Drosophila melanogaster: one gene and its partners. The protein of the gene in region 2 interacts with the protein of the main gene of each other region in a pairwise test. Each region holds a gene or a part of one and is shown on either strand. Other genes may lie near its edges.

Evidence for each region.
Region 1: the proteins of Spn42Dc (region 2) and Non1 interact in a two-hybrid assay, tested with the Drosophila melanogaster proteins (one large-scale study listed by BioGRID).
Region 3: the proteins of Spn42Dc (region 2) and CG31688 interact in a two-hybrid assay, tested with the Drosophila melanogaster proteins (one large-scale study listed by BioGRID).
Region 4: the proteins of Spn42Dc (region 2) and CG15198 interact in a two-hybrid assay, tested with the Drosophila melanogaster proteins (one large-scale study listed by BioGRID).

Annotation. Positions count from the first base shown.
Region 1 is NT_033778.4:9,395,394-9,400,845, forward strand, and holds Non1 (putative nucleolar protein 1), read right to left. Parts: upstream 3,342-5,452; 5' UTR 3,239-3,341; coding exon 3,191-3,238; intron 3,066-3,190; coding exon 2,791-3,065; intron 2,722-2,790; coding exon 1,086-2,721; 3' UTR 872-1,085; downstream 1-871. Other genes in the region: ODA-Dnal1 (outer dynein arm dynein axonemal light chain 1), read right to left, coding at 3-305, 360-471, 536-687; l(2)k10201 (lethal (2) k10201), read left to right, coding at 3,696-4,361; CG33774 (uncharacterized protein), read right to left, coding at 4,454-4,475, 4,555-4,655. UniProt on the Drosophila melanogaster protein: Involved in the biogenesis of the 60S ribosomal subunit. Required for normal assembly of the mitotic spindle. May be involved in both centrosome-dependent and centrosome-independent spindle assembly programs.
Region 2 is NT_033778.4:6,878,770-6,884,612, reverse strand, and holds Spn42Dc (serpin 42Dc), read right to left. Parts: upstream 3,619-5,843; 5' UTR 3,536-3,618; intron 2,966-3,535; exon of another isoform or gene 2,857-2,965; 5' UTR 2,851-2,856; coding exon 1,975-2,850; intron 1,905-1,974; coding exon 1,763-1,904; intron 1,694-1,762; coding exon 1,500-1,693; 3' UTR 1,284-1,499; coding exon of another isoform or gene 1,271-1,283; 3' UTR 1,206-1,270; downstream 1-1,205. Other genes in the region: Spn42Dd (serpin 42Dd), read right to left, coding at 1-96, 155-999, 1,271-1,283; Spn42Db (serpin 42Db), read left to right, coding at 3,898-4,749, 4,808-4,949, 5,123-5,295; Spn42Da (serpin 42Da), read left to right, coding at 5,744-5,768.
Region 3 is NT_033779.5:20,427,082-20,432,568, reverse strand, and holds the start of CG31688 (uncharacterized protein), read right to left. Parts: upstream 3,545-5,487; 5' UTR 3,408-3,544; intron 646-3,407; 5' UTR 69-645; coding exon 1-68.
Region 4 is NC_004354.4:11,245,851-11,249,890, reverse strand, and holds CG15198 (uncharacterized protein), read right to left. Parts: upstream 1,656-4,040; 5' UTR 1,483-1,655; coding exon 1,114-1,482; 3' UTR 1,006-1,113; downstream 1-1,005. Other genes in the region: CG44422 (uncharacterized protein), read left to right, coding at 2,424-3,144.

The DNA of each region.
Region 1 (5,452 bases), 2.5 Mb from region 2:
ACTTAAAGCTGCGGCTCCTCGTTGAGCACGACTGGTTCTCCGTCCAGTTTGCGGATGGTGGGCAGCCTCTTGATGCACTCCGCCCGCCAAGTGGGCTCGTCCAATCCCTCGGATAGGGGATTTCCTACCACCACTAGATCTTCGAGAGATTCGATCTCGGCCAGGCGATTGAATTCCGACCAGTCCTTGATCAAATTGTTGCTTATATAGAGCACCTTCAGGCATTTCAGACCAGTCAAACCCTTAATTTTCTCGATTAGGTTGTAGCTGAGCCACAGCTCCTCCAGAGTTTCAGCCACCGCTTCCTACATAAGAGAAGCAAATGATGTGCTAATGGAACCTATCTAATTCGTCCTTACCAGCCCGGATATCTGCTTAATGTAGTTCCGTGATAAGGACAATACCTTGAGGCACTTCATGCCCGATAAGCCGAATATCTTCTCAATCATATTCGTGGACATACTGATTCTCCTGCAGGGGAAACAGAAAAGTAGGAGTTCATTTTCCTCGAAGAACTAAGAACTTTTAAGCTCACTCGCACTGCACCAGCGTACCCAATGTGCTGTCCATTTTCTCGATGGGTGGCCACTGGAATTGCAGATCAATAACCTTGGCAGTCAGGGAATTTTGCTGCTCCCGCTCCTCCCAGCGCTTCAGAGCCTCCTTAATTGTGGTGGCTTTGGACATGATGTTGCTGTGCCGAACAACTTTTACTCATTGGACAAGAAAATTGGTAAAAACCAAACAAACTTCCACGTTGCCAAGGTGAAGTAAGAAACGAGCAAATATCCATGGGGGTAAACTTTGTTTGTGCTAAAGACAATAGTAATGCACATGCTTTTCAGGTCTCTCTCTTTATATAAACTTTTCCAGAAGTCAAGGCTCTTTGCTTTTTATGATACAAAAATTCCACCAAAGTTTACTGAGTGTGTGATGTGTGGTCCCCGAAAAATAAACAATTTGTTTGTAAAAATACAATATTGTATTGAAAATGTTTTTCAGGGATAAAGATAGACGCTTAGTTTATACAGAGGAGCAGGCGAGCCCACCAGGTAGAATCACTTAACCAGCCAAGGCTGCGGCGCTTAACGGCGATCCGTCTTGCCATTTCCACGCTTGCCGGAGAACAAATGCTTCGGCATCTTGGTGCCGATGAAGCGATCCGCCTCGCCCTTGAGACCCCTGCTTGTGACCTTCTTGGCAATATCCCGCTTGGCCATAATTTGCGCCTTCTTGCGAATGGCCAAGTTCTTGATGCCCAGTGTGTCGCGCGACGGCGCCCGCTTCAGAGGCTGACCAGTCTTCCTGACCACCGCAGAGGACTCCTTGTCGAGCAGCGGCTGCATGGGCACCTTCTTGGAGCCAACTGCCACCTGGCCACGACGCAGATCCACCACGGACTTGGTGAAGTTGGCGTTCTCGCTGCCGGACATGTCCACACCGAGGCCCTCCATCGTCGACACCAGTTTCTGTACGGAACGGTCACGCACCTTGGGCTGCTTGTTTCGTGGGATGACTGGCTTGTTCTTTCGCGACGACAGTCGCTTTTCGTCGCGCAGCTCGAAGCGCTTGCCACGGATTTGCTTGGCTATCTCGCGGATCTCCTTGAGCGTCTCGTCCATGGTCATATCGGGCACCTTGTAGACGCCGCTCTCCTCCCGCAGTCCCTCCTCGCGCTCCAGCTCCTCCAGCTTGTCGAAGATGTCGGCATCGATGTAGTCGGCAATGTTGTGACCCTGCCAGAACTCTGGAATAATGTCGTAGCGCTCCTCCTCGGGGATTTCGCTGTAGTTCTTCTTGAGGTCCAGCGTGTAGTCGTCGCCCATCTCCTCCTCGATCTCCTTCTCCAGCTTGCGCTTGCGCTCTGCCTTGTCGGCATTCTGTAGCAGGCGCGCCGAGGCCTTTTCTGGGATGCAGGGTGCACGAAGTTTGTCATCTCGCGGCGCTGGCATCGCCACATGCAAGCGGTTCAGGATGTTGTCCACCTTCTTTGTGCGCATCTTCTGGTCAACACGGTACGAGAGCAAACGCTCACATGCCTCGGTTTTCACCTCCATGACACCGGTTTCCTGTACGGTGGACATGAGCATTACGGGAATGTTCTTGTCCTCCTGTAGTTTGGTGATAATCGCTCGTCGCTCCTCTGGCAGATCCTCTGGTGTTAGAATATCGATCTTGTTGATGGCCAGGATGAGGGGTTTGTTTGTAAACAAAGGCTTGATGCTCTCGAACAGCTTGACCTGTTCCTCCAAGGAGTGTCCGCACTGCTCGGAGATATCCATGAAGTACAGGACGCAGGCGCGCAAATGAGCCAAGGCAGTAATGGCTTGCATTTCGATCACATTGCGCTCTTCCAGGGGATGATCCAGGATGCCGGGTGTGTCAATGACCTGCCAGCGCAGATATTTGTAGTCTGTGTGTCCCACGTACAGGGATTTCGTGGTGAAGGCGTAGGGCTGCACTTCCACATCGGCGCGGGTGATCTTGTTGATGAACGAGGACTTGCCCACGTTGGGGAAACCGCAGATGATGATGGTACGCGAATAGGGATCGATGGTGGGCAGACGCGAGAGATGCTGACGCACTTGCTCCAGATACGTCAGATTGGAGGCCTGTCGCTTCATAATGGTGGCCATGCGACCCAGGGCAGCTTTCTTCAACTGTTTGCAGCGATACAGCGAGTCACCGTACTTCAGCAGGCGCACGTAGTCCTTGGCCACACTGCGGGATAAAAAATAGAATAGTTAATCGAACCTTGTTCGTTTGGGGATCTGTGACTTTGGCACTCACTTGTCCACCAAATGCCTGGCTGTGTTGAGTTGACCCAGCGCCAGCTTGTAATGATCCTTGTCGTACAGCACGTTCATCAAGTCGGCGTAGAAAGGATGCACGTCGTCCAGTTTGGGAAAGTCCTGAATGATCTGCGACAAGCGATCGTGGAAGTTCTGCTGCGTGTACTTCACCTTGCGCGTGTAGAATGCCCGGATTCTGGATATTTTGTAGCCCTTGTGGACCACCGTCGGGGTCTTGCGCTGTGTCTTCGACAGCATAATGTCGATGAAGTCCTGTGGAAAGGGCAAAAAATAAAATATTATTTACATATTGCGCATATTGGTAAACACCTCCAGTGAGGTTATGTCTTTGCTTCAAGGGGTGCTCCGCGGGACGGGCGCTGCTGGGTACACCTTACCTTTGCTGGCGGAACCACCATGATCTTTTTGAAGTTGTACAGACTCATCTTGGCAGGATTTGTTTATTTTCCACGCGTCGAAAGGAAAATAAATGCGGAATCGAAAGCAAAAACACCACGCGGTGTCAGCTTCGTATTCCAAAAAGAACCGGTTCTCGGGCGGAACCAGTTTAGGTTCACATGTGCTGCACGGCGATGCCAGCCCGCGTAACTAAGTCTGGCGATGTGGCATCATTTCAAAGGCATTTAAGATGTTTCAACTTAATTGCAGTTGTTTAATATAGAAATATATCCATCTAAAATATGAGCGAGTATTTCAATTCATTAATTATGTCTATTTTACGTATGCACTTCAAAAATTGTATTACTATTTCAATTCAAAAGGAAATTATTTTTAATTTTTATATAAATTAAACAAAATCACATCTTCCAAGAGGCAGTACAGTGGAAACATGTTGAAACTGGCGTAGGAACCAAAACAAAACATTTTGGCAACACAAACAAAATGGATTCGGAAGCTGCGGGAGTAGCACTTCTCTCCAGAGAGCAAATCATCAGGATACTAAGCGAAGTGCCAGCGGGATTCATAAAGCCCACGGATCCGCCTGCACCCAGTTTGGCGCCCTTCAAGAAACTCGGCGTTCTCGTGGACATCGATGACATCTTGGGCGAGCAGGATGCGGCGGCAGCTAGGATCAGGGACAACATAGATAAGGAGCAGAGCTACAGCTGCGTAGAATGCCGAAAAATGCTGCCCACTGCCCATCTACTGGATCTGCACATCACCGAACAGCACGATTGCTATTTTGCCGCCAGCGTGGAGCGCGGTGACAAGCCCATGTTTTCCTGCTTTCTGGAAGAGTGCACCATCAAGTTTCATACTGCCCGGCAGCGCAAGGATCACTGCATCATAACGCACAAGCTTCCGGCAAACTATCGCTTTGATCATAGCAAGAATAGGGGCAAACAGAAGCATCAAGGCAAAAGCAAACCCAATTCCATGGAGGTGGACGAGGTGATAGAGGAAACTAAAAGTTTGCCCTACGTCAAGGCCTTCAGCTTTGGACATCAAACGCAGAGGAGTTTCTACACAGGCAAAGATCAGAGATCTGGCAAAACACTGGACGATGTCCAGGCCATGAAGGAGGCCATTAACGACATCCTGGATTAGATTTGTACAACTACATATTTATTTTGCGAATGAAGCAGCATTATCATTATCCTGGTAGAACTATATTAGTCTGTTAGCGGAAACATCCTACATCATTTTGCCTTGGCACTGGGCCTGTAAATAAATGAAAATCGGTTTTATTGTTGATTCCGGGCTGTCTTCTTCCTCTTCTTCACCAAGTGGGATTACTTACTTTCCGGTATTGGCATTAATATAATGATAGGCAACCACCAGCAGGAACAGAAATACGCCCAGAACGTTGGAGAAAATGGCCAATTGCACGTCGGTGATCATTTTGCAGACAGTAACACGTTCTATGGATAAAAACAAACTAATTGATTAGAAACGAAGTGGGCGAGTGACACGTCATGGGTGCGGTGTGGAAATCGCGATTTCTGGCCTATTTCTGTATCCACCAAAATGCAACGCGGGATTATGCATCTCATTTGTCGATTAACTTCACCGATTGTTTCGTTTGCGTTCATTAACTTTAGTTTATTACCTTTTTCAGCGAAAAAACGAGCCGGTTTTTATTGTGTACAAATATTTCAGCGTGACCGTAGATCGACCACTAAAATATACCGATATACCTCGCGAACCATAAATAATACCAGATATACCAAACCGGATATTTAAAAAAAAAATCGTTTTCTTTTCTTTTTTTTCAATTTCAAAATGAACGTCATTTATAAAAAGTAAAAGGTTTCCACCATATTTTATTTTTATTTCAATAACTCCATAACATTTGAAATCCAAAACTCGTTATCACCTTTTTACTACAAATAACAAAACCATATTCTTAATTCTATTTTATTTTCATAAAAATATTCAGCGAACAATTGTAAATTCTCGCCAAAAATTATAAATTAACATATTTAACGGCCATCTTAGAAATATTTTAATTATCTTTCCGTATCCAAAGCTTAAAACTAGTTTACATAATACTTATTGCTTTCATATATTTTTTGCGCAGCTCTGTTTTAAAGGTCACTTGTTTTGTGGAAATTGTTGCGTCAGTTAAAAATATTTAGTATAGCTATCGTCATACACAGATCTCTCAATTGCTCTAGTTTAAATATTAAAGAAGGCAC
Region 2 (5,843 bases):
CGCCTTGTGCGAGACCTGACTGACTTTGCCGCCTGACTTATCGGCGAACAAGCCGCTTAAGTCTGACTTGTCGGTGAATAGCTCTCGGATGCCCAGCTTAAATAGAATCGAGCGTCAAAGTGGCACAACCGTGTTTTTCTTGACGGAGTCTTACCTTCTCTAAGGTCTCTTTGAGTTCATCACGAAATTCGATTTTAAACTTGGGCAGCTTAAGATAGACCTCCTTGGCAACCAGCGGCCTGGCGAAGCCAACGATCTTCTCTTCCAGGGCGCTCAAGCCCTCCACTTCTCGGGGCAGAAAGATAGTCATGGACAGGTTGGAGTTAAGGTACGGCAGCTCGATGACTTGGGCATCTAGATCGCGGAAGTAGTTAGCCCTGAATGTTCCCATTTGCGCCATCATCTGGACGGGCACACTCTTGTTCGCAGTTACTTGGAAGGTGGAGGCTCTGGTCTTAGCTGGGTCAAACTTCGACTCCCACTGGCCCTTAAAGTAGATGGCGTTCACCAGCAAGGCCTTCACGTCGGACGTCATGCTGCCGGGATCGATCATGCCCTTGATTTTACCACTGGTCTGATCCAGCACCCACTGGTTGATTCTCTCGGCCGCCACAGGGCCATTGGTCAGACTAATGGACTCCGCCTCGGACTTGAAGGGTTCCCTCACAGCGAGGTTGTAGTTCTGATTCAGGCTGTACTGGTCGTTGACGTAGATGCGATTCGCGAGCTTTAGTATGGGTCCCTCCTCCTGTCCCTGAAGATCGTTGAGGAGAGCACCGTACCTGGCTGCCACCGCCTCTTTGTCCTCCGATGGTAAACCTAAGGCGCTCTGCAGCTCCTTGGCCGTCGAGCCTTCTGCGCCCATGAAGACCATGCTAAGGATGGTCTCTATGGAGACGGGCGAGACGACGAGGTTCTGGTTTGTATGGCTCTTGGAAAGTAGTTGGTAGATCTCTTTGGAGGTCTGACATGCCACTGAAGTGACCCACAGGAAAATGCCTAGTTTGGGGATGTTAATTATCAATTCGTTTTCAGCGTTCGGAAATTCTGTTCATGCATATTAAACTTGATATTTTTTACTTTTACAGACTAAAGCAAATCGAATTCAACGAAAGCGGATAGTCTTTGTAAGTTAAAAGTTAATGCCATAGCAAACGTCTTCACCATATTGTTTTATTATTTTCTATGAATTTAATTTAAATCATAAGTTATTATAGGTAATTTATTGCTTTGTATTTTAATTCACTGGCTATAAGCGATCGCCACTTACACAAGTAATACATTTGACCGTCTACAACGAACTCTTCCCCGAGATAAGTATCTCTGTAAACTGAGCGCCGAGTGCCAAGACGAGCTCATATATGCACTGGACATATATGTACCTACTGGCGATACTTCATTACGTTACTGAGAACTGCGCACACAGCTCTCTCGGATTGAAATCCAATGACGTCTAGTGGGATTTCATAGCTGAGTTCTATTCGGTCTCACTGCTGTTCTTAGACATTGTACATGTTGGCATCGAAACCTTCCCGTGACAAGCCCTCCTCTCCTGATCCAGATCCAGACTTGGGGTTCGAGAATCGGCCGGCGAAGAAGACGGCCTGCGGGTTTCGTATGTAAAAGACGAACGGGTGATCCGCCTTGAAGAGCTTCTTGTTCATGTTGAGCATCATGGGTACTATCTTCATGACTGAGTGTGGGAATCAGAGTTGAGATTAGTACGAGCAAGTTTGAGTTGCAAGCAGCTGATTTCACTTACAACTGACTGCTGCTGCCTCCGATCCTGCCTCATTTACGTCGATGTAGCCGCGGTGCCTTGCTGCCGAGATTTTTTGGCCACTTTGCGAGGTAAAGAGCCCGTCTAGCTTGGCCTTATCGCTGAAGACTTCCGTAATACCCAGCTGAGAATAAATATCAGATATTACATTGTTATTAAAACAAAGCCACTATTATCGGTTAAATGTATCTTACCTGATTAAGTACCTGCTTGAGGTCCACGTCGTACTCTATGCACATCCTGGGCAGAAAGATCTCGACATCCTGCAAGGTCAGCGCTGCGTCAATATCGGCTAGATCCACGGTGTTGAGTTGCTGCTCTAACTCCTGCAGACCGTTTACTTCGTTGGGCAGCAGAATTAGCATGTGAATGTTTGAGTAATCATAGGGCAGTTGCACAGCTCGAGCCTTCAGCTGTGGCAGTTCTGCGAACCGGAACTTGTCCTCTTGGTACATCATATTCACCTGCACGTGAGTGTCCCGGTCCACGTGGAAATGGTCAATCGATGTGGTCTCTGGCATAAATGGTTTCTGCCACTTTCCCTTAAAGTACAAGACATTGATGAGCAGGGCGCTCGTTTCGTTGTTCACGGCATCCGATTGAAGCAGGTTGGTGATCTTATGCTCCGTCTCCTGTTCCACCCAGTCGTTGATCAGCTGCGTAGCTCCCTCCGAATCGGCGAACCTCGTCGCCTCGGCCTTCGACTGGAAGAAGTCCACGGCGATCTCGTTGAACTCGGTAAGCAGTTCCAAGGAATCGTTGACGTACAATCGGTTCACGGACTTCAACACGGGTCCCCTGTCGCCGTAGTTACAGCTCGTGCGCCAGAACTCTCCGAAGTTTAGGGCTATGTGATGGCGATCTCCTGGTCCTAGCTGAAGCCCATTCCTTAGCTCCTCTGCTGTAGATCCGGAAGCCCCCATAAATGCCAAGGTCAATGCACTTTGGACGGATGCTGGAGAGAAAACCGTATTTATGTGGGGGTCTTTGCTCTGTTGCAGGGCATCTTTGGTAATGACATCTATCAGATTTCGCGCAAACTGATTTCTGCCTTCTTGGGGTTCGCTCATCTCGATCTGGGCAAAAAAATATATGTTTTAATTTATATTTTTAAATACTTAAATGTAACATAAGTATACAAAAATAAGACATTTTCGGGCCAAATCTCATTATCTCATTTGGCATTATCGCCAGCTGTTAAGCGCCAACTTGATCAATCCAGAACAATTTCGAATTCGGATTCAATCTTTAATAAAATAAAACATTTTCAAAATTGCCTATGCTAATTAAAAATAAATCCGAAATCCCAGAATGACGTATTAGCTTACAACTGCTACTAGGTGCTACTATTTATTTTAAAATAATAATAATAATTCCCTATTATATTTTTAATAGAACCGATGTAGAAAGTAAAGTGAAGTCAACTAGAACTTGCTTTCGTCATAACAAATTGCCTTATAGCAAACGACGCGATAGTAATTCAAAGATAAAATAACACACGTCACCTGATAAGGTTGTTGATGTTTTCAGATATTTAAAATTTAACAATACCCTCTACTGCATAGAGGGGATTACTGCATATTTAGATTACCGTAACTTAGCCTACTAAGTAAGTTTCGGAATTTCTTTAATTTACAAATCATCGATCAATGTGGACATGAAACAATAAATTTCTCTACGTGCACTGATAAGCTATTTTGGATCGGCGAAACAGGTGAGGGCGTCGCTGACCCTATGGGTGCGCTGATAACTTACACCGGAAAAAACAATCTCACGGATACAATCGGAAGGCAGCCGGAGAATGAGCGTGGTTTCCGTCAAACTGCGCGGAATTGACTAACGCCGCGAATCGCAGTAAGTCAGAACTGAACGAACTGCAACTCGATTAGATAAATTCCAAGAGAGTCTGAAGTGGCAAGCGCTCTCGACGGAGAGAAGTTCCTGGCGTACCCGAAATTGGAATGGTGTTGATAGCTCATCTAGCTTCTTATTAAAATATTTGCTCAAACTGCTGATAAGTCAATCTGAATCTCTTTCGAAAAATGAGTACTCACTGATTCTTCTATCGTAGACGCATATTTAACATATTTAACCTGAGATCGTCTGCTTTCTTCATCATGAAAGATGAGGAGTTCGCACAGGGCTTGGAACAATTCGCTCTTTGTCTGCACGACCATTTGTGCCGGGCAAGTGCTGGCCTAAACATCATCTACTCCCCATTATCCATCCACATCTCTGCGGCCATGCTGCGGATGGGAACATCCGAGGGATCGGCTACAGCTAAGGAGATGGACGAGGGGCTCCGTTTCGGTGGGCTAGAAGCTCAGCAAGTAGCTGAAAGCTTTGGTGTCGTCCTCAAGTCCTATGAACAGTGCCAGGTTCTTAAAATGGCAAACGGCCTATATGTTATGAAGGGTCTCCAAGTTGACGAGCAGTTTGGTCACATACTAGAGCAGAAGTTTCGCTCCAAGCCAATGGAGATTGACTTTGGCAGCGAGCAGGCTGCCAGCATAATCAACAAATGGGTGGAGTCACAGACCAACAACCTGATCAAGGACATAATCGGTCCAAGAGTTCTTACCAAGGACTCGCGGCTGTGCCTAGTAAACGGTATTCACTTCAAGGGTGAGTGGTCAATCAGTTTCAATGAAAAAGAAACCCGCGAAGAGGATTTCTTCGGATCGGATAGACCTACCAGAGTGAGAATGATGCATGTGTGCGAGAACTTCTTTTTTGCCGTACTTCCCATGTTCGAAGCCACTGCCCTTAGAATGAATTATAGTGCCTGTAATTTGGCCATGATCATTTTACTTCCTGATGAGAAGTCGAATCTCACGAGCCTCGAAAAGAAACTTAGTGATATTTCCCTAGAGGTAGTGTCATCAGCAATGAATCTGGAAAAAGTGGATGTGAAGATTCCTAGCTTTACAGCCGAGTTCCAGCAAGAACTATCCCAGGTTTTAATGCTGGTTAGCTGAAATGGATTTGTTATTGAAATTTGATTATACGCAACCTGGCTACTCACAGATGGGCATGAACCGAATATTCAGTGGTCAGGCAGAGCTTGGGGGAATGCTACAATCCGAGGAAAGCCTTTTTGTCTCCCAGATCGTCCACAAAGCATTTATCGAGATTAACGAAGTGGGCACTGAAGCTGCAGCCGCAACGGGTGAGCCTGCAAAAAAAAAAGGTTCCAAAACTTTTGGCAATTTGAAAGCCTCTTATATCTAGTACTCCGGATATTCTTACGAATGTCATACGAGGTGCTAAGCAAGTCCAATATTAAAAATTTCACTCAAATATGTATATATTCGCATTAACTAATTTAAACTTCTTGTTCAGCTGCGGTTGCCACATTTAGAAGCATGCCTGCGCGCCAAGGACCTCCAAAGGTATTCCACGCTAATAGACCTTTCTTCTATGCTATAAAGGACAACACCCATGGCCTTCTATTTGCCGGTCATTTTATCACAACCAAGGTTGAGCAGTCTGAAAAATGTAACACATGTACCTAAAGGAAAAATAAATATGTATATCTTTGGCGTGGGAAATAGTTGAGAAATAAATTGTACTTCCACTTAAGTTACTTATTAAACATTTGACACATTAAACGTGTAGGAATTATCTATTATTTATTATTATTATTATTATTTATTATTATAACATAAATCTGCCTTTGAAGGTATATAAAGGGTGTTATTCGATTCTATTGACTCATTCTATTGACTTCTCCCTAGAATTTTTGGCAAAATATAATAAACAAATTTAGGTAGGGAATGATTTCAGTTTCAGCTTTCCTCTGTTATCAGGGAACGGAAAAAATCCCATTATTGTCGAAGACAATAACAAGCTCAAGCTGAGCTTTGGCTGATAAGGTCGCAGTAAATCGTGTGGACCTGAAGTCAGGCCAGTCTATTACGTACGCTTTGCAGACTAGGTTTACTGTAAGCAAAATTACTGAGTATGGATTATCGTTTGGTGCCATGTGGTGAGTTATCCGGCAGTTTGACTTTAAAAAGCCAGTGAAAGAAAACGCATTATGGATGTAAAGAGTGAAATCAAT
Region 3 (5,487 bases), on a different chromosome or scaffold from region 2:
GCTCCGGCACCGGCGACAGCGCCACCTCCACCGCGTCCGCCGCCACCGCGATGGTTGGCAGAGGCCATGGTGCTGTTGGAGCTGCTGCTCCGGATGTTGCTGTTCCGGCTGACGCTCTGCTTGACCCCGCCTCCACCGCTGCCGCCGCCGCCGCCTCCTCCTCCGCCGGCGCTGCCAGCTCCACCGCTGCCACTGGTCGCTTTCGTTGTGCCGGCGTGTGGATTACCGCTGCTACTGCGACGTCGCTGGCCGCTTCGTCCGCCGCTCCTCTGGTGGCCTGGAGCAGTTCCTGATACCGCACCCGCTCCCGAACCTTGTCCCGATCCCGAACCTGCAGCGGCGGCAGCAGCAGCAGCGGCGGCGGCGGCTGTGGACGTCGATGGTTTTGTGGACGACGTTGTGGCTTCTCCGCTACCCGGACGCACTCACAGGCTCACGCTCACGCACACGCAGACGCACACTTGGCACACTTAAAGCACTGAGCACACTGGCAGGATTCAAGGACTCGAGGACGAACGCTCGACTCCCACAAGTTGTTGACTTTTGCACTGGTTTTCACACCGGATTGGATTTCACTTTTGGCCTTTCGACCTTTTTTCCGGCTTAATTTATTCTGTTATTGCCACTTGTATACGTTATCAGCAACTGCAAAACAAAAGAGAGAGAGATATATATAGAGAATTATTGGTTAGATATTGTACCATGGTATTGGACAGGTATCATCATACAATACTTATACTAAAGCACATAGCAGTTTACGAAAGAGAACTTAAATATATATATATATCTATTCTAAGTAGTTAAGCTATTTTAAGTACAGAAAAGGGTTGAAAAATCAAAATAAATAAGTGTGCAAGTCTTTGGCGAACAAGTGCTATTAATCATACACGGTTGTAAGTATCCAAGCGTTAATAAGCAACTAAATGGAAGTGGTCTTAGTGGTCTTTACTGACCAGTCAGCCCCAAGGGCGATCATCTCATCTCCCTAAACAACCTTTTATGGCTCCACAGACCATGGACTAGCTCACATAAATCAAATATTAGTGCTTGGGCGGCTGCTGCAGTTTGGCTGTGTGGAATCATCCCATATTGTGGGTAGTTGCCACTAGAGTACCACCACCCAGAGTACGAGCACTGGAGCGCCCACAATCAACAAGTTTTTAATTGCCAAGTGCAAACAGCAAACAAGATTGTTATGGTTATCAATGAGCCAGAGGTAGTAGAGGTGACCCTTCCAACATTTGGTCACGGGCCATAATAGCGTGCTTTGATTGTATTGCTCCAAATGGCTGGTTGATTTGGCTGGCATTTTGTACATTAAACAAAATGTGTATTTATGTAAGTTAATAATTTAAGCCAAAAGTAGAGAAGTATTTATGGTGAAAAACAACGAAGATATGATTTATTTTCTAATATTTTCAATTAATATTCCCACTCTTCCTATAGCAGCTATATGTTATATTCGTCCGATTTTAATCCAATTCATTTTTGATTTTTTCTTTTTATTTTTAAACAATTTTTGGTAAAGTTTCATTAAGATATTGTAGTTTTAAGAGGGAGAGACTTGATTGCGTTGAAACGGACGAACTTACGGACGGACAACAGATGGACATGCCTATATCCTGTTGATCAAGGATAAATGTAGCTAAATGTAGGCTTAAAAAATTCACCCTTTTGATTTTGGATCGTATAGCTTAAGCAAACTGTTGTTTCAAGGAACATCCGCAGAAGGAGTCGCACGGCAGCGACAGTCGGAAAGTGGAGTAAAATTTGAAGCGGCATAATGAGCACGTGTCGCCCAAGTGGGCCAAAAGGGGGCGGGGCAAGGGGCAGTTGGGTGGTTGGGTGTTTGGGCGGCTTTTGAGGGGTGACAAGGACATGGAACTGTTGGGCCGGGAAAGCGTTCGTGCGAAATGGAAACAGCAGCTAGGAAAAGACACGAGACGGCGCAGGATAGACAACCGTTGCATTACAGACACATGGCATCAAGGAAAACACTGTTTACGAATCCCTCTTCCTCCACACACACACACACTCACTCACACACACGCAGCTCCCAAGTTGAGTGCACTCACATAACGAAGCAATCGAAATGCATTTGAATCGGGGAAAACGGAGAAGGCGTGGAAAATGGGAGCACGGAGATGGAAGCCACAGCTGCTGCAAAGGAAAACCACGACGAGTGTGAGTGATTTCGGGTGTCGGCATTTGGGTAAGCAGTAAAACACTAAAAACGAGGAAGTGCAAAAAGAAAAGGCCCAGGCCCACAGACCCCCGAAAAAAGAAGGGTTACCCCTTACCACAAAAACGATTTGCACGACACTAAAGGCGCTGGAAGCCCGAAGAAAGGCCGCCAAATAGAGATGAGCCCCGGGCGAAGCTAAGTTGTTACCATATCGGGATTTGGCAGGCATTCTTCAGAATTTTTGTTAAAAGAATTGAAATTAGATTCCAGAGAAGACGGGTGGCATTGGTTGGTTCAGATGCCTTGATTTGTATTTACTTAAAATATAAACTGAAAAGAACAAGATTCGCAATCAAACTACCAGTTAAAATATATAACATATGGTTATTTTGATATTTAAGAATAAACTGTCTTAAATAGAAAGGGGTTTTAAATATAATATATTTGGAAAGAGATTAGTTCGCTCTCATCTCTGGCAGACCAAACAGGGAACTGGGAAACCGAAGGCGTGTCATCTGGTTCACAGCAGCAACTAAAACAACCACAACAACTACAGATACAGGAGGAGCCGAGGAAGAAGAACAAGAACCACGGGGGGGAGGGGGGATGCACGTTGAGGACGCGGCCAGGTAAAGGTCCTTTATTCCTTTTACGGGGCCACTGTTCAAATTTGCATATGCTTTAAATATTTAATGTAATTCAAAAAGAGGAGACAGCAGCGCCAACAAGAATCTGGCAATTGGACAAAGCCCGGCCGGGCATAATCCAATTGGACTGGAAAACAGAGCCCGCTCTCCCATTGGATTTCCCAACAAAAGGAAAGAAAGAACACATGAAGTCGTCGCGTTTTTTGGCAAAAAATCAATTCTCCACGTGATGGCCAAGCGCAGTTTTTTTGGCGATTTACAGAGCGGGAAAAGCGGGGCAAGCCGGGAGTGCTTCCCATTTGATCAACGCCTCAACCTCAACGCATTTCTGGCTTCGTTTTTGGGGCTGCTAATTATTGACATAACAAATGTGGTGGAGCTTCTACCACGCTCTCCGCACAAACACACGCGCAGCAACACAATGAATATTCCGATGACAGCACACGCGAAATTCCCTAAAACAAGAGGAGCGAGAACAGCCGCGATTTTGGGTAGCACGGGGTTTTCGGCGCTTTGTTGACAGGAAAATTGGGAATCGAAGCACGTAGGTATAAAACTTAAATGCACTTAATTACATTTAATTTGCGAGACTGCTGCGCTGCCTTTGTTGTATTTTACGACTGATTTCAACCGCATTCACTGACTTGTGGGGAGAGTAAACTTTATAGAGCCCACGACATCCGACGTCGAACACACAGCGCTGTCACTTTGGTTCGACGCGTTCGTTCGAGTTGGCACTGAACATCTGATTGGATCCCGAGGTGAAGTGTGCGAGGCAACGGCACGATGCTGCTCGTTTGGGTCGCCCGTAAGCGACGCTTGCGTTAGAGGAGCACAGATATAGGGTCCGTACCACGAAATTCACCTTCGCGCGCTTTTCACAATCTTTTCGGTATTTAATTTAAACATCGTAAGCCGTGCGGTATTTTTAATTAGCTAAAGTTTAGTAACGAAACTTAACAGCAAGCTAACTTCAATTAGGAAATATTTTTATATTCTCGTAAATGATTTCAGTTCCACAAATTGTTTCGATTTCAAAAATAATTTGCATCATATTGACTATAATTAAAAGAGTATGCATTTTCTTTTTTAATATTTTGTTTTTATGCCTTAACACACAATTTTTACAGTAATTATCTTCCTATGATGTGACGTCACGTCATACCCATACACACACGTTCTCCATTCGTGGACACCAACACAAGCGAAGAGTACATTCACGTTTTTCATTCAAACATTACTCGAACAGCCTTCTTGGTTCGACGCCACTCTGCGAAAAGTGCGAAATACAGAGAAAATTGCCCTAGACGCCTATTTTAAACTTGTTATTGCCGCAGAAATGTATTCCAAATTAAAGTGGATTCCATCAAAAATTAGTCGTAAAATTGCATGCTATTAAGCTAAGGTATAAGATCAAGTGAAAAATCCAGTGTTTGACTAGTGGAATTGTAAATTTATTTTTAATTTTAAAGTTCAGTTGCAAATTAAACGAATTGTTTAAAAGCATTTAACCATGAAAACGCTTATAATCAAGAGCAATACTTAAAAAACACATTATCTACACCAAAGTCCATTAGGCCAAATAAAATCGCATAGCATGTCCAACTTGAGTAGTAGTTTAATATTTTTAAGTAATCCCTAGTTGAAATCAGCATAGGTGGCATTATTGAACAGAATTAATGAAATATAAAATCTTTCACTTCTACTACTTAATTCTTTAGTTAAAACACATTATATACTATAACAATATAGAAGATTATTTCCATTTACAAAATCAGAAAGCTTAAGCAACAAAAAGGTACCACATTTTTCTAATTTACATTTAGGTTTAGTATTCTATTTTTAAGCCCACATATAAACTGTAATCAAGCACTTACAAATAAAAGAGTTGGATATTATATATTATATGCCTGGTTCTGCTGGTTAAACCGAACTTTGTTGGCCTTCTGATAAGCAAAAACCTATCGAAACTATCGTGGACTTTGCGATAATTTTGCAATGCATTTAAAATTCAAGAAAAATCAAAATAATGCAACTTAAATAATGGTAAATACTCAATAATTAGACCTCACGAGGAGGAAACCGCATTGCATGGCTAGCTACACCCCTTCGAAGCGCTACCAATCGAATATCGATTATTTGGCGGCGATAGGCGTGCAACGTTTGGCGGTCAAAACAAAAGCGCTCGTATGTGCATTCTATGGGTTTTGATTGGCTTTATGTTTGGCGTGTGTGGCTCGAACAAACGAAAAGCGGTGCTTACTTTGCTGATTTGGTGATTAATATTGATTTGTGGATAATATGCGTCTAATTGCAGTGGCGCTTGCAGGTAGGTGCTGGAGATTCTTGGACTTTGATCTTTGTCTGAATCTGTATCTGAATCTGAATCGCTATCTAAATCTGAATCTGAGTCAGATTTGTGGGGATTCACAGCGTGGGTGGGCGCGAAGTAGGCTGGTGGAGGTGCTGACGCTGCTGCTGCTGCCCGGGAATATAGCTATTGCCAACCCCGGATTCGCCGGAGTTGGTGCCGGAAGCGGAGACGGAATCGGTTATGGAATCGGTCTTGGAACTGGAGCCGGAGTCGAGATCTCTGGGCATTTTGGGGCCTAAGTTGTTGCCTTCCTCTTGCGGGCAAACAACGAAGTGGCAACA
Region 4 (4,040 bases), on a different chromosome or scaffold from region 2:
TTTATACAGCTAATGATCCAAATAAACGATTTCTGTAACCGTTTTGTTAATTTGAAAAAATTGATTTTTTTCAAATTTTCAGATTTTTTATAAGGGGTAACATCATCATTTTTTGCGAAAAATTGACAAAAAATTACATTTTTAACTGTGAATGCCATTCGAAAGGCAATTTTATGACGAGTTCAACGAGGTATGGCATTCCATGTTTGGATAAATAACTTTATTGCTATGAACAAAATAATGATTATATTTTGTTGAAAAATTGGTGTTTCATTTTGGCAAAATGATGATTTTTTCGAAGAATTCAGTTTGCTATAACTTGGCCAAAAATGGTCACTTATTCAAAAAAATTACTGTTTTATACAGCTAATGATCCAAATAAACGATTTCTGTAACCGTTTTGTTAATTTGAAAAAATTGATTTTTTTCAAATTTTCAGATTTTTTATAAGGGGTAACATCATCATTTTTTGCGAAAAATTGAAAAAAAATTACATTTTTAACTGTGAATGCCATTCGAAAGACAATTTTATGACGAGTTCAACGAGGTATGGCATTCCATGTTTGGATAAATAACTTTATTGCTATGAACAAAATAATGATTATATTTTGTTGAAAAATTGGTGTTTCATTTTGGCAAAATGATGATTTTTTCGAAGAATTCAGTTTGCTATAACTTGGCCAAAAATGGTCACTTATTCAAAAAAATTACTGTTTTATACAGCTAATGATCCAAATAAACGATTTCTGTAACCGTTTTGTTAATTTGAAAAAATTGATTTTTTTCAAATTTTCAGATTTTTTATAAGGGGTAACATCATCATTTTTTGCGAAAAATTGAAAAAAAATTACATTTTTAACTGTGAATGCCATTCGAAAGACAATTTTATGACGAGTTCAACGAGGTATGGCATTCCATATTTGGACAACTATTTACATTGCTGTAGGAAAAAGACTGATCATTTTTCGACAGACTATAGAAAAAATACGAATGGATTATTTTTCTGGGCCTTTTATTTTTGTATTTGGGGCTAGCTTGGTGTTGCGAGTTAGCCTATTCAAATAGCCAGTTGGTAGATAAAGCTTTCTGATCCAATGTGAACTTCCTCTGGTTCTAACCACAGCCAGGACCATCGATGCGAGCGCCCTCCATGCAGGGATACGGCTTGCATGTGGTGTTGTTGGAAGACGACGCACCCTGATCCCCTCCAGTGCCCGCTGCTCCGCCCATACGAGCGGCGGCGGCCAGGACCTCGACGGTGCTATATATGTTGGCCACGATTACCATGCCGCCCGCAGCTCCGCTGGGCAAACTGTTGGGATCCGTTGCATCCGTTGGAGAACCATTGGTGGTCGTAGTAGTTGGCTGACAGTTGGGTGAGCATTGCTGGCCGGGAATCTCGGGAATGGCACACGCCTTGCTGGGATGTGGGCCAATGTAGAAGGGATTGAAGGGTTTGTCGTCGGACTCGAGGGTTTTCATGGTGATGGTGAGCGCAGCAACGTTTAAACGGCAAAGGTAGAAAATGTGGAAAAACACGGAGTTATTCACACGGAAAAATTTTGAATTTTTTTTTTTTTGGCTAGTTTTCCGAACTGTTCGGTGTAAGGTTTGCCCCAATACTGAACAAAAGTCAACCACACGGATGGTTTTATCTATGCGAGTTTCATTGCGAGGCCTACTTACTTGGGATAACAAATGTTTAATTTAGTTGTAATATTTTGCATAAATTTAATAGGTTACAATGTGCGTTAGCATCTCAATCGATGTGCATTGGCAACTTAGTTAGCCGCAATTTACTGAGAAGGCAATTGTCTAGTTTAGTGTATCATTTAGTAAATAGGATTAAAATGGGCTAACAAGTGCGCTTACAACAGCTTTATAATTCACATACGCACACACACGCACACACATACGCATGCACGCATACTAACAATGCAACGCTGCTGGCAAATGGAATAAATGGAAATTCCTGGAAATAGTTTTCTTTGTTATTTACTCTATTCCGATCAAATTAAGATAATTAGAAAATAATATGGGAACACGATAAAGTACCCAGCTTCGAAAGCATTTGGTACAGTTTGTTTGTACTGTTTTTGGGAAACTAATTAATTCCCAAATGAAATTAAATTAAAGAAATTGATCGGTTTAGAGACCTAAATGCCTTAGTATCGGAACTAACATATATATTCTGCTCGATTTTACTCGCTTCTCGCAGATGCGGCACCGCTTAACCCCAATCTGCCTAACAAAGTGACCGCCGTAACCATGTAACTGTCCAATATGCTACTAAAACCACTAAAACCAGCCAGCGACAATTAAAGCCAGCCGCTAGAGAGGATCGGGAGCAGGAACAGGAGCAGCAGAAGGAGGTGGAACTCTAGCCGCTCCAGCAGTACATAACATACACTGAGAGAAACATTATGGCCGGGCCACAGGTGCAGCACAGCCAGCGACCGAATAGCGCCTACTACACGGGTCTAAATGGTGGTTCCGGCAGCGGCGGCGGCGGAGGAGGAGGAGGAGCTGGAGGCGGCGGCGCAGGTGGTGGATCCTCCGCCGGAATGTCAAGCAGTGCATCGCACACCGGACTGCATGCCCTGCGCCAGGTGAGCAACGAAACGGAGCTCATCTATCGTGGAAGCCACAGCAATGGCACCGTCAACGAGCTGCCCTCGAGCGCCCAGCATCACCTGCTCACAGGTCGAGCGGTCCAGCAGCACCAGCAGCAGCAGCAGATGCATCACCAGACGGTGAGCAGCATCGCTGGCACCGGATCCAGTGTCACAGATGCCCTCATCAGCACCATTAACTCCGGCGGTGGCGGTGGTGGTCCCTCCGGCAGCAGTTGCTCCACGGCGGCATTGGGCATTAAAAAGTCCAGCACGCAACGCAGCATCGAGATTATTGTGGACGCCAGTCAGTGCGGCAAGGAGCTGGTGGCCAGTGGTCCGGGTTCGGGTGCAGCGGGCTCGGGGGCAGCGATTGTCTCCACCCTGGACGTGGAAGATGTGGAGCAGGGCGGTGGCGGTCAGGAGTCCTCCTCCTCGCATAGGAAATCATCGCGCCATCGGCATCGACCGCTCCACCGGCGGCTGATCACGTATCTGCGGAACCTCTTCCAAGGCAGCACCACACAGAATGGTAAGGCAGCTTTTGTAAGAGGAGCAACTGCATCCACTTGGGCATTTCATGCATTTTCCTAAGCTTCTAGTTTTGAGCTAGATAATTTCTTGTAAGGAAAGAGGGAAACCCGAAACTTAGATATGTGATATGATTAAAGTACATTTGTCAGTTTCTTAAGAAGTTGTTTTGAATTATATTATTTCAATTGGTTAAAAAAAGTAGTTAAATTTAACCTTTTTAACAAATGAAAATTTAAATATTATCATTAATGATTTCTGTTTCTAAAGAGCGTTTTTTTTTTCACTGTAAAGTTTTAGTTTTTCAAAAGCACTCTTCCACTTTCACTTGTCACCCTCTGTTTTATATTCTTTTCAGAGTGTACTTTACATATTTGATTTTTTCTTTTTGATTTCTGTTTTTTTTCTTTCTGTGTAGCTGTGAAAACTCTGCTGGTTGCCTGGGGCTGCATCGCAAAGCGTAAGCGGCAATGTCTGTTCTTCACCCGTAGAACCCCTTAACCCTTACCCTAACCGCGCCGCCTTTAACCCGATTGTTGGCCATGACTAACCCCTGCCAAAAAACGTGCTAACCATTTTCAGTTTGGGTCAATTCATGGCCATGAATCCACAGCCGTTGGCCTGGCCGCGTTGCAGATATACATATTTTTTTTTGTTTTTGTGCGCATCTTGAGGTTGGCAGGCGGGAAAAAACGCTCGTAAAACGCGCCTGCGGTTCCGCGGCTGTTTTTGTCGCCTGGCCGAAATTTATGCATGGCGAACTTTTTTTTTTTTTGCGAACGAAAAATCATCAGAGCGTCCTTGAATGGATTTTCTATTGAAAATCTATTAGGCGTTTGCGGTGTATGTATTTTTTGTTGTTGTGGGCGACGCCTGAAGCTGGAAATTGCTTGGCCT